Linked DNA regions of Bombyx mori. The protein of the gene in region 1 interacts with the protein of each later gene in a pairwise test. Links are inferred from orthologs where the notes say so. Each region holds a gene or a part of one and is shown on either strand. Other genes may lie near its edges. The genes, in order: DNA replication complex GINS protein SLD5 and probable DNA replication complex GINS protein PSF2.

The links.
Region 2: the proteins of DNA replication complex GINS protein SLD5 (region 1) and probable DNA replication complex GINS protein PSF2 interact in a two-hybrid assay, tested with the Drosophila melanogaster proteins (2 studies listed by BioGRID). The link is inferred for Bombyx mori from reciprocal best matches to the Drosophila melanogaster genes Sld5 and Psf2.

What each region holds. Positions count from the first base shown.
Region 1 is NC_085121.1:9,243,213-9,252,782, reverse strand, and holds DNA replication complex GINS protein SLD5, read right to left. Parts: upstream 5,972-9,570; 5' UTR 4,775-5,971; coding exon 4,198-4,774; intron 3,516-4,197; coding exon of another isoform or gene 3,493-3,515; exon of another isoform or gene 2,841-3,492; coding exon 2,767-2,840; 3' UTR 2,747-2,766; downstream 1-2,746. Other genes in the region: ATP-binding cassette sub-family C member 4, read left to right, coding at 571-676, 1,177-1,368; opsin-1, read left to right, coding at 6,109-6,115, 8,872-9,037, 9,139-9,259, 9,344-9,461, 9,530-9,570.
Region 2 is NC_085116.1:1,521,665-1,531,211, reverse strand, and holds probable DNA replication complex GINS protein PSF2, read right to left. Parts: upstream 5,254-9,547; 5' UTR 4,721-5,253; coding exon 4,476-4,720; intron 4,035-4,475; coding exon 3,862-4,034; intron 3,589-3,861; coding exon 3,293-3,588; 3' UTR 2,829-3,292; coding exon of another isoform or gene 2,751-2,828; 3' UTR 2,630-2,750; downstream 1-2,629. UniProt on the Drosophila melanogaster protein: The GINS complex plays an essential role in the initiation of DNA replication.

The DNA.
Region 1 (9,570 bases):
AGTAATGCACACAGTGTACGATTTAACTTTGTAATAACGTAAAAAAATAACATATTTTTTTATCATTCATTGACCACGATCTTAGAGCGTTCGTTTGCGCAATACACTAACTCTTATGTAAACAACCGTGAATGAAGTGTACCACAATAAGTTGGCACGTTACCGAATGACCGTGGGTTGTTGCGAAACCTCCAGTTTTATTTTCTTTATACCTCGAATAGAACTTAAAATTAATATTTTTATAATAAGGAACTTCATTCCTATCCGGTGTCCCACGACAGCACACATCTTTTTTTTATTTTTTTTATCTGCTTTCTTGTTTCATTCGGTCACACTTTGCTGTGGTTTATTTAATTTTTGAGGCATTTAAGTTGGCCTTGTACAAAACATAATCAGCTACTAAAACAACTAATGGAGTTTGAAATCAATAGAACGAACAATACTTAAAATACAGATAAAAAGAAGGAAAACAGTTTTTTTATTTAAAATGGTTTGTCTAAATAATTTGAAGTAACGAAATCGATCGATCACCTCTGAATGTTCTAAAACACGTGCACATTTTGTCCTCAGTACTGATGCACTGATCCAGAAGTCTATTCGCAAACATTTTGCGGACTGCACCGTTGTCACAGTCGCCCATCGACTACACACCGTTGCGGATTCTGATCGAGTTGTGGTAAGTCAATCGTATTCACTATGGCTTTTTTTTTTAATAATAAATTTGTAATATATTTTAAGTAGTGATATTCACTGGTAAGCCCGTCGCTTTGACCGGTTTGGCTTTTGTATATATATGTGCAGTATCCAGAGGGTTTATTTGCAACAAAAAAATGGACGGTCCATTTTATAAGCATTGACCAATCAACACTTCAAACTGCCGAGCTCGGAGTCTGTTCCAATCCCAACCATATGCTAGATTAACTAATGTTTAAAATAGATAAGCTATTAACAACATATATATTATCCGAATATAATTTTTAGAATCAACGTGAGATTTTGACCTCGTGTCTCAAAGGCGATTTCTATCTGAATTCACGTAGTGAAGTTTAAGAGCTATGATTTATTGTTTAATATCCTTCTTGTCGTGACTTCGTCTACTCGTATTCACAAATTGAAAAACAACGAATTATTAATGGCTGTGCCAGTCTTATGAATGTGCTCAACATTTGCTTGTAGGTCATGGAAGCAGGCCAGATCGTCGAATGTGGCCACCCTTACGAGCTACTTAAGAACGATAACGGGCATTTCTCGAAAATGGTTAAACAATTGGGTCCCGCCTCAGAGCAGAGCCTTAGAGAACTTGCGCGGGACGCACACGCACAACACATACAATACGTCGACGCGGACGACCAGGATAAAACGAAATAACTGAACGTTTTATTACGTAACAGAAACGTTAATATTATGTAACACACGTACTCGCCTATTTGTCATAATCGTCATTACAAATTGATAGGTACTTCAGTCCAAAAAGTGGCAGGCGGCATTCCGTTGTGGTGTCTATGAGCTCAAATAATTACTTAACAACAGGCGAGTCGAAAGCCGGTTTTATGTACGATGTACTTAATGTGTTACTTAAATTTTGATGGTACTTAATTCGTTGGTACAAGATTACTTTCAAATTAATACATTGCCATAGCTGGGCAGCCAAGTTCGAGATACACTTGGTTTTAAAAGATTACAAGTATCCATAGACTCCACAGTTGAATACCCTCGACGAGAAACTACCGCCCGCCTTAAAACGTCAGATCGAAGCTTTAATTGAGGCAACATTCACAGGTTCCCACTGTTTGCTGTAGGTTTTTTTAATGTCGTATTTACTTGATAATAGCATTGGCGATGTTTATATCTAATTAAGAATATTATAAAGTCCCGGTAACACTAACATAGATAAGTAAGAAATTATATCCACCACAACTGTTAAATTACTATTTTAAACGGTTGTCACCAAAGTACACGTCGTGTCTCTAAATTAATAGTGCATGGATATCTTTAGTCCAATTCACATTTACAGGGTCATAACGAACTATTTGTTTAAATTATTTATCTACATATACCTATTTTCACAAAGAGTTTATTTCTGTTACTTTTAAATAATGAGGAAGCTTTAAATGTTACCAATAATAATCATAGTACTTATTTAGTTATACATATATGTATTTAAATTATTTTATTTACAGTCCATATTTAATACTCTATTTATAAGCAATCTTTTAAATTTGTATCTTTGCTTTATGTTTGTACAATGTACATTTTACTATGGCAACATACAAAAAAGTAACTTATTACACAATATGTTGATTATAATAAGGTTTTTATCGAATATATGTAGATTAATGTTTAAATTTTAAGATCTGCTAGTAAGGTGCTGTTCATTATAACCTAACCTAGCCTAGCTAGCCAATAAAATGTATCCAAATTCCAGATATATTTTTGTAAGGAAAAATAGTAAGCTGTCAGATTTAACTTAAATATAAATAAGTGCTTTATGAAAAAATATTGTGATATAATTACAAATAAATTTACATTGTAGTTTTTTAATGTTTCAACTGTCTATTCTTACATAAGTAGTAATTGTAACTTTGAAATATATTTAAATTTTGTGAGATTATAATACTTCAGTACTTATTGTGTACTTACCTTGTATATTTATTATGTTAATTTACAATAAACTGAAAGTAAAAATTAATTTTGTTTAATTTATTAAACTAGCTACAAATGTTTTAAAAATAAATGAAATACAAAGTGTTTACAGAAAATTTACTATCATAACAATGTGACTTTCCCGTTCTTTAAAAGATCTGCAATTGGTTTGTATTGCAAGATGTGCTGCGAGCCCTCTGAAAGAAATAAGTAGTATTAAAGACATTATACTGCATTTTATTTATTCTTAGTCTGAGCCCACACTTTTAGCAAGATTTTTACTTAAATAAAAAAATTTAATTGTAAACAATACAGTAAAACTTGTGGCTGTTATTAACAAGTTAACATTTAGTATAGTGAAAATCATGAACAGGTAATCTTCCACAGAGCAGTAATTATTTCTTGTGAAGCCAGTAGTCCAAATGTTGTTTGAAACTTTTATATATCTTAGATTTTTCTTGTATTTTTTTTTGCATGGTTTCAGTTTTTGCTCAATTTTTGTCCTATGATAGCTACTGCTATTTCAGATTTAAAATTCTATGACATTCCCTAGTTTTCTGAGGAAATGCATAAACTTAGTATTTATATAGATAGCATTACTGCAATTACAAACCTACGAAATTAATAAATTTGACTTTACTGGTGTAAGTATATGGTTGGGCTACATACCTACAATAAAATTTAGACTTTAAATTGAAATGTTAAGGTAATTACAAGCATTTTTACATTACAGCTTTATCATTTAACATCTTACTTACACTTTCACTAGTGGTACGGTGTCTTGTGAGCCTGCATGATGTGTACCACCACCCTGCCTATTTCTGCCATGAAGCAGTAATGCGTTTTGGTTTAAGAGTTGGGGCAGCCATTAACTGAGTCATAAAACGGAGACTTAGAACTCTTGCCTCAAGGTTTTAATTAAAAAAAATAATAATTTTAATTATAGCACAACTTTGCACTTTAGATTAGTTTAAAAGTATAAGATTTTAACTCCTATGGTAAATATCATTCACTGTGTTTGATTTTTTTTTATTTCTGAGATTGCTACATAATGTATGTTCAGAAGTGTTGTATGTGTCAGACATACACAATGTTAAATGTTCACCAAAATCTATAAATACTATAAAAAGTGAATACCTCCTGAGATATGAGGTCTAAGTCTCCATTGTCTAGTATGGGGACTGTCCCCATTCTTCAAACTTCATGACTGCTTTATGGCAGAGACTAATTAATTGGTGACACATTCCCATATGGCCTACCACCAATAATTATGGGATATTATTTTTATTTTGGCAAGTTTATTGTTTCCATAGTGTTATTTCTTTTTTGTGGATTAATCAAACAGAATTAGATTCAATTTAAGACATATATAATCAAATCATTCAATATACCATAATATTATTATTTAAGTCATGATAACTTCAATGATATAGGTGATATCCTGTGGTACAATAGTCAAGGTCATTAAACCAACAAGGGTATTGCTCTATCTATCAAAGTATAACAAAAGAAAACCTATAATGTGTTTCAGTTGTGAGAAAATCAATAACAAACCTTCTAAGTCAATTTCTTCATCTTCACCAGTCAAGTCTTCTAATACAACCCCATTAATGGTTTCATTGGCTTTAAGGAATACATGCGTTTGTAAATTAGGATGTTCTGCCATTTTGTTCATTTCAAAGACTTGCATATTACCAGGCATTTTATTTAATACCACATTTTTCATATGATTTTCCATGTTCAAAACATATTCTTGAGCATATTTATATTCTGATGGTGTTAGGTAATTAGTATCAGTTTCTATTCTTTGTCTTTCTTGGTTTAGTATTGGAATGCAATATTTTTCAATCTTATTCAGTCTAGTTTTAAGATAATTACAAATAATAAATTTAATTCTGCTAATCTCCATTTTGTGTATAGAAGTTCTCAAATCAGTTTTTGAAAGTTTATTTATGTTTCTTTCCATGTGTTGTATTTGACCTAACATACATTCTACCATGTCATTTTGATGAGGGAGTATTTCTGGGGACAATCTTTCATTTTGCCAAGCACTTTGTAGTGTTTTTAAAACAGTCTCAGCTGTTACTTCTTCTTCATCATCACTGAACTGCAACTCTTCGGTTGACTCCATATTCTTCTAAATTATATATACCCACAGAATTCTAGTGCAACTTTAGATTGTCACTGAATGATATTATTCTAGCTTTCACGACTCGAATTTGAGTTCTGGTGTTTTTTAGGTTCTAAAGAGCTTTTTTTACCAATTCATTATAAATTTAAAGAGTATATAATCGCATTCATGTTTCACTACATTACAATCATAGTTTTTTTTTCTTTTATCTTTTTCTTTTATTAAAATTTTCTGTATTTTTGTCTTGCTTTCTGTACTAAACAAATTGTTACTTTATGACATACCTCAATTGTCATTAATTTTTTTTTTCTTCTGAATAGCACGGGATTTTATTTCTACTACCTTTATTGAAATAATAAGTTTATGGTAAAATAATGTAATTTTTTTTCTCACAGATTTTTTTGCTTACTATTTGTTTAAAACTTTGTTGGTTTGAACTAGAGATGGCGTTAACGGTTGAATTTATTTATCTGTTAACTGGTAATTGATAAAAAAAATTACCGATATTTTTATTGGTTGAAAATACCGGTAAATCTTTTCGTTGAAAAATTAATTTTGCTAATGTTAAACTTGAATGGTACTAGCACTTTTCGAAATGATCCCATATTTCTGCATTGCGTTTCGGCATTTTAAATTAGATATACAATTTAAAAATCCACAACAACAAAGTAAGCAAAGTCTCAAACACACAAAAACAAAGTCAAAACACACAAACACAAAGTACAAATCTCTTAAAATACAAAAACACAACTTTACCAAAATAATAGAAAAGATGCACTGAGCCACCAAAATGTCAAGTACCAAACAAAATATTACGTTTAAAAAATCAACCAATCACGTCATCTTCGCGTTCGGTAAAAATATCGTTTCATTTCAATTTTTTAACGAAAAAAATTATCATTAACTGTAAAATACACCAACTTAAATATTGTGCTTTATTTTGAGGGGTATAGAGCATACAATGAAATCATAAAATTCAATATTTTTTACATGATAAGTTGAAGACATCTGCAAGGCGAAAATGAATCTTACGTGTTGAAATAAAGTTGAAACTTGCATAAATATAATTTCCAATAATTGCCTATGCCACTACACGCAGTGTGTTTGGTAAACGGTATTTTTAACCGTTTTGGGTAATTTTATTTATCGAATAGAAGTGTTAATTTTTTTTACCGGTAAATTTATTGGTTATTGGTTATATTAGCCACCTCTAGTTTGAACCAATGTTTTATCTATTTCTATCATAAGTAATACTACGAAGAGTGAGTGAGCAGCTATGAGTCTCGATGATATTTAATATCAAGTTCGATTTCTACAAATGATAATGTTCCTGTATGTTAAGTATGTTTCTCCACTGTGTTCTTGAACAAAGTTTAGTAGTGAAGGAATAACATCGAACGCTGTAATAAAATTAGTATAAGCCGCCATACCATCTTGTTTATTTCTTGTGCAAACCAATCATCATCCTGGTTTGAAGGGTTGAATGGTTAATATTTTTAAATATTTTTTTATTGCTTCATGTTGTGGAAGTCTCAGTAGTAATGGGTGCTCGAGCCATCCTAGTAGGCTTACAGCAAGCCTTATCTTACTAGTAAAATTAGGGATGAAGAGCAAGAAAACGAAAAAAGTCGATATTCAGAAGAGAAAAGCCAGTGCTGACACTATGAAAGAGTGCGTCGCCTCCCACTTAAAACTACATATTATTTTCAAAACTCGTCTGAATATAGCTTTCAGAAATACTTTGCTATAGAGTTCATCCTAGAATTATTTCTAGAAATGAGCTGTGGATGGAACAATGAACTCTACTTCGGACATTACTACTGAAAGTTGTTGTACATGTGCTTGGTACAAGCACACTGACCATCCCGTAAATACATTTACATTATTCATTCTAAATTTTACTTAAAATAGAGCCGTGGGCCGCGGGACACACCTAGTTTGTTTTAAACAATTAATTGCAGTTTTTGTATCGAATAATGTACGTACGTACTAGCGAAGACATTTAATCTTGTTAGCCACATAAACCTGCTTCTTTGAAGTCGCATAACTACATTACCTCAGTAATACAGAGCTGTACTTACAAATATCTGTACTTACAAATAGCTGTACTTTGCAAATATCAACCGTACTATAACGGCGGCACTTAAACATAGTTTATTTTATAAATAACTAAATTTATTACTAAATTTCAAAATTCTGCTGACCGTTTCCTTGAAATTAGTCCACATTAAGCACTTTGCATCTTAAAATTTAGTTTTTTCGTTCCAAAATTTACGTATGTGCTCCATTGCTGCTCTTTTTGGAATCACCCAGATCTTTTGACACAAGTAGACTTTAATCAAAAATGGCTTAGAATCGATTCTTAATATGCAGCTAAACGAGCTAACTTGGACCCATGCATCCCTACCCATCCGTTTTGGTGGTTTAGGGACTCGCAAAATTTCTCGTGTCGCTTTACCAGCCTTCCTATCTTTTGTCCATAGTTCAGCAAATCTCATAAGTAAAAAACTTTGAGATTGCTGGCTTGGAAGAAGCTAGAAACGCTTTCTTAATTGGATGCCCACGTCAAAATTTTCCAGTTTCTCTAAATTCACAGAAGAGCTGGGACGACATAAACTGCAAATTGACATATGACAATCTTTTGAGCTGTAGTACAGGTTCGGCGCGTGCTAGGCTTTTGGCTGTGGGTGCGCACGAGGCCGGCTACTGGATTCACGCGTACCCTTCGTCAAATACAGGAACATTTCTTGAGCCTGACACGCTCCGAATCGCAACCTGTGTACGGCTCGGGGTTCCGGTCTGTGTTCCTCATAAATGTCCCTGTGGCAGTGATGTCGACAAGCTAGGACATCACGGACTGTCTTGCCAAAAAAGTGCAGACCGCTTCTCGCGACATGCCGCACTTAATTATATCATACGCCGGTCCCTTGCCACTGCCAACGTGCCAAGTCTACTTGAGCCGACTGGTATTGCAAGAGACGACGGCAAGAGACCGGACGATATGAGTTTGATTCCATGGAAGATGGGCCGGGTGTTGGTATGGGATGCAACCTGTTCAGACACGCTGGCCCCTTCCCATCTACATGGAACCTACAATAAAGCTGGTGCGGCTTGTGAAGCGGCTCAAAAAACCAAAGCATGCAAATACAGGGTCTAGGCTCGGAATATGTTTTTGTTCCATTCGGTCTCGAGACCCTTGGTCCGTGGGATCCTAGCGCTATAAAGCTTTTTAAGGAAATAGCAAAAAGGTTAGTCGACACCACAGGAGACCGAAGAGCTGGCAGCTACCTTGGACAAAGAATTAGTCTAGCTATTCAAAGGGGGAATAGCTAGACTAATTCGCTGTCAGTATCTTCGGAACCTTGCCTAAAGGGACTCCTTTTAATAATATATTTTAGTTATAAAATTATTATTTTTATTCTTTATTATATAATATTATTTTAATATTATTAATTTAGTATTTAATTTTTAATTTAATATATAACATATATTTTATTATATTAACATATATTTTATGTCTAAGACGGATAATTTTCCACATTAGAATGTAGGTAAAGTAATTATTTCAATTTGGAATAATAAAATCTACTTTCGTTTTTTTTATTCCATTAGCATGAAATATTAATTATTTAATTTAAACATATTATGTTAAACGGTTAAACCGAAAATACAACTTTCTTATATCATACATTATTATTATCATTTTCAATTGTAAATGCAAACCTGTAAAATTCACCCTCAAGATAATAATATATTCACCTTCTAAGACATCGTATATCTTATTATGAATATTGATTTTCCTGCAACGCAACATTAATCCTCGTTAGGTATATAAAACAGAGCCGTACTAGTAAAGACGAGTAGCCTCCACGGCCTCGGCAATCCTGCCACACTTCGCACCACGAGATCGGTTTACTGTAATTAATCTGAAGTTCATTTAATGATTTCCTTCAGTATTTTATACCCATTTCAATACATAATTAAAGTTCACATTCCTTCTTTGTGAGCAAAAAATGACAAGTTATTTTTATTTTAATTGAATTGGAAGTAATTGAATTTAGATTACTATTTCCTAAAATTTCACTTTAATCATTCAGGTTACGTAGTCAACTTTAATAGTGCGAAAATGATTTCCTTGGATCCTGGACCAGGAATGGCAGCTCTCCAGGCGTGGGGTGGTCAAGTGGCTGCCTACGGAGCCGCTAACCAAACCGTTGTCGATAAAGTACCACCTGATATGCTACACATGGTCGATCCTCATTGGTTTGTTGTTAATTCATATTTTATTTTAAATATCATTCAATGTTGTATTGCAATAACAATTCGTAAACTAAAGTGATCATTTTTCAACGACTTCATTTCAGGTACCAATTTCCACCTATGAACCCACTATGGCACGCCCTATTAGGCTTCACAATCGGAGTTCTTGGCTTCATATCAATTTCGGGTAACGGAATGGTCATTTACATTTTCATGTCAACAAAGGTTTGTGAAAATAAATAACTTTTAAAATGCCGAAACTTTACGTCGGTAGATCGATTTTATCTCATGAAATGTACTATTTTCCAGAGCCTTAAAACACCATCAAACCTTCTCGTAGTGAATTTGGCATTCTCAGACTTCCTCATGATGTGTGCTATGTCTCCAGCGATGGTCGTTAACTGTTACAATGAAACTTGGGTTTTCGGTTAGTAAAAATGTTGCGAATAGAGTTTTTGTTTTTAAATAAATTTATTAAACATCATCTCCTTTTAGGACCTTTTGCATGCGAGCTATATGCTTGTGCCGGTTCATTA
Region 2 (9,547 bases), on another chromosome or scaffold:
TGCTTCTGTTTGAAAATACATGACTGAATTCTAAGTTCATTGACCGTTTGTTTGTATCTTTGATTAAATAATCCTTAATTTATGTAGGTACATAATTATATTAAATTTCAATATTTCTTTGATAGATAAAAATATAAATTAATATTTTATAGTTTATTAATTGAAGCTGCCTATCTAGATTATAATCTAGGCTAAGTGCATTTAAATTTAATAAGTACCTTATAGTGACATAAATAAGACTAACAGAGCAATTAATTAGGTTCGTAGTTTGCGTCTTCTACTTTTTTACATTTAAGTGAAGAATTGTAAATCTTGGTTTTCAGAAGAAATATATTTTTTTCTTATGAATTTTTTATTTTATTTCTATACAAAGCAATTGTAAGGGATTGTTAAAACGAAACTATATTGACAGAAAATAACACCAATATGGAACTGTTAATGTAGGGATCAGGTAGTAGTAGCAACCCGCTCGGCGGTGTATCGCCTTCCGACAGGCTGGTTCTGGCCCAGCGGGGTATCCCGGAACACCAGCGCGAGGCGGCCTGGTAGGGCCGCCGTACCGCGGAGACCGACGTCGTTGGTCGTTGACTATCGCCTCGACGACTCGTCGGTCGGGCGTCCTCGGGGTGGCGCCGCGTGTCTGGTTGTAGCGTTGACCGCGGGAACCTCCCTACTCTGACCGGGTTCTGACCCCAGACGGAGATCGGACGTCGGGTGTAAGAACGCAGGGGTCATTTAGTGCGGTACGGTCCTAAAATTCCTTGGGCCCGCGGTCTCGCATTCGCGGACCAGCCCCACATACCCCGCCGGGGATCTCGTAGGAGGTTCGGCCTCCGGCCCGAAAAAATAATAATAAAGGGACAGGTAATAGCAGGGGTAAGCAATACCTCGGATTTTTAAGCGAAACCGATCTGGAAGCGTCAGAACACAACTTTTATAAAGTGGCACCACACTATAAATCTCTTTTAATGGCCACCGCTAATTACACAGGTATGCAATGAAATCCTCCTTTAAAATTTTTTGTCATAAATATGACGATTTAAATGTTCTGAATCTATACCCCTTGGCCGATTTTTTCCATCACGTCTAGATTTTTTGATATGTTTTTTTTTTCAAACCTTTATGGAACTCAAACTACTTATGGAATATTTGTGCTGATTTAAAAGTCGTCGCTATACTCACCGGATTACAATGAGGGTACACAAAGTTTTGCCGTTTTCTTTGTGAGTGGGACAGTCACGCAAGATAAAAACTTTAAATCCTGGGCTTAAAAATGTGTCTCAGAAACCTTTGGTGCCAAGTGAGAAAAAATTTCTGCCACCACTCACATAAGGTTGGGACTCAAGAAAAACTATATCTAAAATTAATATCAATGAATAATTTCAATATCTAAAAACCAAAATTCCTCGAATCAGTGACGCAAAATTGAAGGAAGAAATTTTTGTAGATCAACAGATACTTACGTGAGCTAATGAAAGATGAAAATTTTAATTCGAAGTTGAACGAAGCAGAAAAAAGAGCTTGGGCGGCTTTTGTGAAAGTTTGTCATAATTTTCTTGGGAACAGAAAAAGTGAGAACTACTGACAAATCATTCGGGAGCTTCTTTTTGCTTATAAAGCTTTAGGATGCAATATGTCACTCAAGATTTATTTTTCCGACTCTCTTTTAGATCTCTTTCCTGAAAATCTTGGAGCCGTATCAGATGAATATGGTGAAAGGTTTCATCAGGATATAATGCACATTGAAAAACGCTACAGTGGGAAATGGTCAGCAGCAGTGCTTGCTGATTTCTGTTGGTCAATTCGCTGAGAAACTCCAATAGAAACGATGACAAATAAAAAAACCACAAAATAAATCTTCTCACCATATAATGAGATAACTGACCGATATATATTCATTTTGTGACTATAATTTCAGATTTTTCACTGTAAAACTTAGACCGAAATATGTTTTCATTTCGTTATGATAATTGATATTTTAATAATATTGTTTGTTAATTAAATAAATATTATATGGGAATCTACGTGTGGTAACTAATTGTATGTCAGATTCCGTGTTTGGAGCACAAAATATAATGAATTCATCTATGAAAAAAAAGTAGAAAAAAATAATTTTTTTTGTAGACCTGTTACATATCGCACCCAGGCGACGGGACAAGGCAGCCGCCGTCGCCCAAAATTTATCTTGTCGGGTCCTCAACATCCGCTCTCGGTGCTTTTAGGTCTTTAAGCAGTGGTCATTGTCTTCGTCGAATTCATCGATTACTGACGCGTTGACGAACTGAACTGAAGAGTTCGACGTGCGAGCTAGTCCATAGACACAGCCCACTTAATTTCCCGCCGGATCTTCTAAGTGGGTCGCGGTTCCGATCCGGTGGTAGATTCTGCGAAGCACTGCTTTTGTTAGGGCTGGTGTTAGCATATTTTTCCAGGTTGTGCCCATGAGCCCACCTAATGGTCCGCGCGTAGTTGAACAGCCCCGTAGGCTACCGAAGATTAGGCAGTGAAAAATAAAAACTGTTGAGATTTGAGGTTTCGGTCTAAAACAACAGGTTATCAAATGTTTAATATAATAAGATCAACTCTAAATGCATGCAATTTTAAATATCTAAAAAGAATAAAAACAAGGTTACAATAAGTGTTTTTAATGTTATTACCACTTTTTGATTGTTACCAACCACTTTGTTACAAAATCATTAAAAAGTATTAAGAACTTACTAAACTTAAACTACACTTAACTACACTTAAAACTATGTATTTTGAGAGCTCCCTGATTGACTGAAGGTTGAACTATTTAAATTGAGCGATGGTGCTGTCTTTTTCGTTTTCTGTAAAACAAAAAGTTGATTATTTGTTACAAAACTGTACTGCAAGTACATATAAGAATAATTGCACTCAGATCTTCAATTTTAAAGCCCACCCAAATAACCTTGCTAAGCATCTAACGGACAACCAAATGACAACAAGAAGACTGAAGAAGAGTGTCTTCAGATCTACTAGATCCAGTGTAGATTCACTGATATGGACATTGTGCGTGTACTGCCTATCAAATTATTTTTGTCAAAACTACAGTTGAAAGTCTAAAGACAGCTTACTGTAATTTACTCTATAAAACAAATAAAAAAATCTTCAATACCGAATTTAAGTTTAACAATGATATTGATAAGACCAGGTTTACAAACTCCAAATTACCGTAGTTACTAAACCTTAGGTTAGCTGAACTCACTGCACACTCACAGTTTTAGTTTTGGTAACACACATCATCATCACAACAATGTGATTTGCCCTTCTACTAGGACACGAGAGTGAAGTCTAGAACAGAAATCCAAGGATCCTTCAGAGTAGAATGCATAAATGTGTCACGTATAAGATGGTCCGAAGGATGGTACATACATTCAGAGATATTCGTAAAAAGGACAAAGTGGAGATGAAAATACAGAAGGATGTGTCTAAAGGAGAGTATATTACAATTTGTCACACATGTTCTTACCATTTGCATCCTTAAGAGGTTGTCCATAGCAGCAGGTAGAAGAGGTTTCACTGAGTTTATTTCCATCATTGTTAAATGATCTAATCTGCCATAGCCACCTGAAAATGTCAATTATAAATGTCCTGAATTTAACTTATGACTGAGTAAGTCACATTCTATATTTTTTTCTTATCTTAATTTAAGCATACCATTCTGGTGTTAAGTTGTTACCGAAGACCACATATCATCATTATAGGCTTTCTGATCCATGCAGGTTTACAATATCATCAGTTACAATAAAATAAAATATAAAATCCTCTCAATTCAAAAATCTTTAAAATGTAAGTTAAAAGTACTTAAAAGTAAAGTATTTTAAAGGAATCATTACAAACCTCCAGTTTTCATCAATGCATCCATTGATGTTCGTAACTTAGACATTCTTATATCCCAGATGTCTTTGATAATAGTCTTTATTTCTGGTGCATTGGGAACATCTTCGGCAGCTGAACCAAGTATCAGTTTGGCTTCCACCATATAGTGTTCATTTGGCATCTTTGTGAAGAATCTGGTAGTTTGATAATTTTAGGAAGATTTAATGTGAAAACTTTGACTACTACAACTACTTGCTTTATCTTGCTGATAATTCTCAAACGCCATTTAATGATAGATTTTATATTTACACACCCTTTCATGAGTACTGGCAAAGATATATTTATTGACCAATGAACTTCAAGTTTTTTAATCATGTTACAATTTGAGATTTATTAACAGGTAGACCACTAATAGTTATTGTTTAGTATCAGTGTTAGAATGGATGGCTCTAGAAGGTATTTATAACATAAACCATAATAATAAAATATACTTTTTGATTTAAAATTAAGACATGGAAGTTGTATAAACAAAATATTAAATTGTATCTGGAATAAACTGGACCACCTAGAAAGATCAAAGTTTTGAAACTGGTGTGTTTTGTAAAAAACCAAATTTATTAAATATATTGACAAACCTGGAACGCTTTTCCTCTTCTTTAATATTCTCCAAAACTTCCACGTCCATCCAGTCAGGAGGGATAACATGGCACTTTTGTTTCTGCTTTAGCATGATAGCCAGCCAGAGTGGTACGTTCACAGGTAAACCAGCACGAAACGGACCAAATTCACCGCATATCAAGTATATTTTATCATGGGTAAAGTTTGGTGTTATACTGATTATCCGATTCTCACCAATAAACTCGATTTCATAAGGTTCCATTATTATTTTTATGGTTTTAATAATTTATAATCATTTAATAATATACATATATTTAATTTAATTCATTTTGGTTAAAAATTTAGGAATATTACCTACCTTTATCATGTTTTTATTTATCATATTTTTTTAGGTATTTTATATTATGACCTGGTAACTAAGACTTTTAAGTCATGTCTTATTTTAATTTATACTCTTATTTTTATGAAAAATGATGAAATGAAATGAAGATAATTAATTTGAGACATTAATTAACTGGGATGAAATCAAATGAAATGAGATGAGATGATATGGGATGAACTATAATCTCAGTAAAATGGTGGTCATTTACTGAGATTTTTTCGTTGGACTTTTGGAGGATCCCGAGAAGTGACGTCCAGCGGCTTTGTTTCATTTTCCCACATTTTTGCACTTTCACAGATATTAAACAGTTAATAAACCACCATTATTACACATATAAACCCAAGAAACACTAAATAGACAAAATAAAACAAAACACACAACTTCACTCCTCGCGTTCCCGCCAAAAAGTCGCCTTATCTTTATCACTGATCTCAAACGTCATAGAGCGAGATTAGTAGACTTGCCAGCTAAAATCGGTACATTTGTACTATTTTGTACCCAAAATCGGTATTAGTCAAAAAATATACAATATTCAATCAAATGCGTTTATTTATTGAAAAAAAAACTTACATACTAATTTATAACAATCATATTTAAGAATAAATATTTTTTATACCAATATTGTTTGGCCATAGCTGCAGTCATCGTTGAATTAATTTCAAAATCATAGCAATTAGCTGTATTATAGAGTCGTTTTGCATGTAATAGACCAGTGATTGACTCAGTAGACAGCCTATTTCGCTGTTTTGTTTTCAAAAGAATAAATATGCGTTCAACGTTAGCGGATGAATAGGAAAGTGATAAAATATTAAGGATGAAATTAGACAACAAAGGAAACATTTGAGTTTCATCGCCACGTTTTAATAAAGTTACTTCTTCCCAAAATAGTTCTACATCATTAGGAAATGTTTTGATTTATTCACAATTTCTTAAAATGCGCTACTCTATCAATTTCCTGGAAATCATTGCTCTGAACAATATTGGGAAAGAGCCTACTTTTAAGTAGTATCGAAGTAGTCTTGCCAATTTTAACATGTTTTGGATCAATAATGTCTAAAAGTGTCAAATCGGTAGAAAAATCGGGAGAATTTCCATGTATACTCTGAAATCGTAGAAAAATCATTTTATTTCGGTATTTCAATAGATCAGTGCCCATATCGGTAGATATACCGAAAAATCGGTAGGTTCGAGACCACTGATATTTACTCTTGTTTATAGAGCTTAATTGTTTGACTTTGAAACTCAAATAGTAAGTGTTCTATGCTTTGACATACTGACATAGTGATGCAGATTTTTTGGCGGTAAGTGACCACCATTTTACTGAGATTATATTTCATCCCAGTTGATTAATGTCTCAAATTAATTATTTTCATTTCATTTCACTCCATATTATCATTTTTCATAAAACTATGAATATAAATTAAAATACGAAAATACGAAAAATGACCTAAAAGTCTTAGTTACCAGTTCATAAAATCCCTTAAAAAAAAGGAAAATTGGCGGGAATAACGTTTAAATAATACGACTTAGTAGATCGAATTTATGAAATAAGTTTCATAAATCCAGTGTTTTAAATAGCTGTATGAATGGCGATACTGGAAGTAGGTAATTAAGTTTTAATTTACATGTTTTCTTTAAATTTGCTTATTTAAGCGTCATCTATGCTACATTTAAATAACTGACATAGATGGTTTGTTTTCACTAAAGCTGGCGTAGTTCAGATGATTGAACTAGGTGGCACTAAAATAAAAAAAATCTACTTTAAAAAAAATCGTAGTTATAGAACAATTTTAAGTGGAATCGTAAATAAAGAACATTAAATAAGTGGGTATTATTTTTGTGAATTGCTTAATTTAAACTCAAATTGCATAAGTTAGCCTTACATGTAATTTAGTCGTTAGCATAATCCTGAAATAAAACGCGAAACTCGCTCACTCTTCATCTCTCTGCATAAAAGTAAAACATTGAAATTACCATTTAAAATTATTGACGTCATTTACGAGTGGCGATCGATGCAAATCGTTTTGGCAGAGTGCAAACTCCTAATTACTCCTCGTAAATTAGGGTAGCCGGTTGACAATGTCTCAGACGGGTGATATTTATGGCTCTATATTATTGGTGGGGACTCACCCCCTTGTGTCAGAGAGAACAGTAAGTTTATGCGTCTCTTAGTTTGGAAAAAACACATACATTGCTCTGTCTATAAACTGATCACTATGTATTTCATTCGCCCAATTTCAGTGCTAAGTCTACTATTTCGTCGGAGTTTTTAGTAACGCACCTATTCGACACTATGAAAATGGCAATAAATTTTATTTTGAACGAATCATATTTAATCTGTAGAGTCTATCTTTTATCATAGAAAATACTAATATTTCATTTATTTTCTGGTAAACCTTTGAAATATGTAAACATACTACAGTGAAATAATCACAAGAAGAAAAAGCATTCAGCGATTTCACGAAACATAAAAACGTCACAGATAAAAAACATCTTGGAGATTTATAAAAGTAACCTGTCTTGAATGCGACAAATAAATAACAGATGTGTCTGCACGAGCGAAAAACACATTGTCTCCGAGCAACAACATTCAACATCTTTCTTCTTAAATCTGCATACAAATTCGTGAGATCGCGCCCGGAAATTCAGCTAGTCATTTAAAACCCATTCTGTTTTAAGGCGTTTTTTCGCGCCATAAATATGTCAAATGTGACATTCGATGCATCTAGCGACATCTATTTTCAATACGTATGTACTTCCATTACGTTTACTAGTTTCAAATTTCCACAAAAGGTGGCGGTTAGAGTCACAACTAACAGTATTTTCCAAGTTCTTAATTAAACGAAACTAATGTTTTTTGTTTGTAACATGTCCAGAATAAATTCATTAAATACACCTATTAGTTCAAAATACACAAAAGTCATTTGAGGTACGTTGACGGTGCTATGGTAGAAATATTTCATTCAAGTGCAAACAACAATTAATTTATACATCACTTCTTTTTTTGTCTTTATTATCCAATCGTCTGGAAGAGATCCCTTCTTATAAGATGAACTTTCAATTCTAATATTATGGTATATTTACTAATTTATGTATATTAACTATGATATCACAAAATTTCGACTCGACTTATAAAAGACGCGTCGATTCATAGAAAATCATTGATTTATGAAGGGGGTATAGTCAAAACAAAGATAAAAATGAAACGGAAGTGCTGTTCCAAAGAGGAGATATTTTTTAAACTGCTAATTACTCCGGTAAGAACAATGAACTAACATTTTCATATATCTACGTCCCTTGTGGAGTGTAAAGTGAATTATTGTAATTACGCTTGGCCTCTGCCGCTTGCACAGAACTTTCATACTATCTTATGACTGTTGTTACGAACTTTTGTATAAGTATACAATTTTATATATTTCATAGTTTTTCACTGACTCCTGTAAGCATTATTTGTTGACGTAATTTTAACTATTTTTACGGCTTAATCTCTGTGGTTGCTTACAAAAATTCAAATGTAATAAGCTATGGTTGCTTATTCGTACGTGGCGACGAAAACTGTAAAGATTTCGAATTGTATTAATATAATTGCTTTATTGCAATTGCTTTATTTTAAATAAATGGGAGATCAACGTGAACGTAAAAAGTATGTTTAATTACGTTTACAATTCGTGATAACTGACGAAAATACTAATTTTAACAAGTTCTTATTAGAAGTTTGTAACGAGATATTTCGCCGACGTTAACACGTCTGACTAACCTAATAATTAGCAAACGCATCAAGTTCCGATGTCAAAACTACTTAAATAAGTTCGCTCTAATATCCTGACTAATACTAACAGGATAAAAAAGATGAAATTAATTGTTCGATTTGCTATAGAAGTATGTTTTTTTAGTTTTTAAACTACTATTTATCTATATTATTTAAGACAGCGATTTGTTCAAATGACTTGCGCGCTACCTGCGCCATATTTATGGTACTATGATAAAGACTTATTTTTAGTATCACATCACTCATATCACTCTAAATTCTATTTTAATTCATTATCTATCTGTGCTTGATCTTATTTTCATGATGAATATCTATTTATATATGGAAAGACAAAGAGTTATGTAAAAAATATATTTTCTCAATTGTTTGTCAATGTTTTTCTCTTCTTGTAGGAGCTTTAGTTTTATTGATTTTGTATTAGTATTTTTTGTTTATGGTTCTAGCACACCAAAAAGAGCAAATGAGAGAGAGAGAGCTATATGATTTCATATAAATAAAATGAATGTAGGTAATTTGGTATCGGTGATGGATAGTCAACATCGTTGTGTTTTAAATGTTCTATGTTGTTAATAATGTTGGTTCGTAATCACCTCCCTTGGTATTCGTATTTACCCGACTGATGTCGGGCAAAGTCGAACACTAAGGGTTTTGTTTTTCTTTCATATCGTTGTAATTTATTAAAAAAATATAAATGTTCATTAGTGAATAAGTGAGACAGATAAGTAAACTTTATAATAAAAAAACAAAAAAAAAACTGTGATCAAATTCCATGTTTTATTTAAGTTTTCCCTTAGGTGTTCGTATATCCCCCACTTTCCCCTAATTTGGTATCAGTGATTATGGTCGAATTTCGATCGTTGGAAACACTGGTCATTTATATCAAGTTTGTACGTGTAAATACATATAACTTTACTCTGAATGTTTAATTATATCAGTCG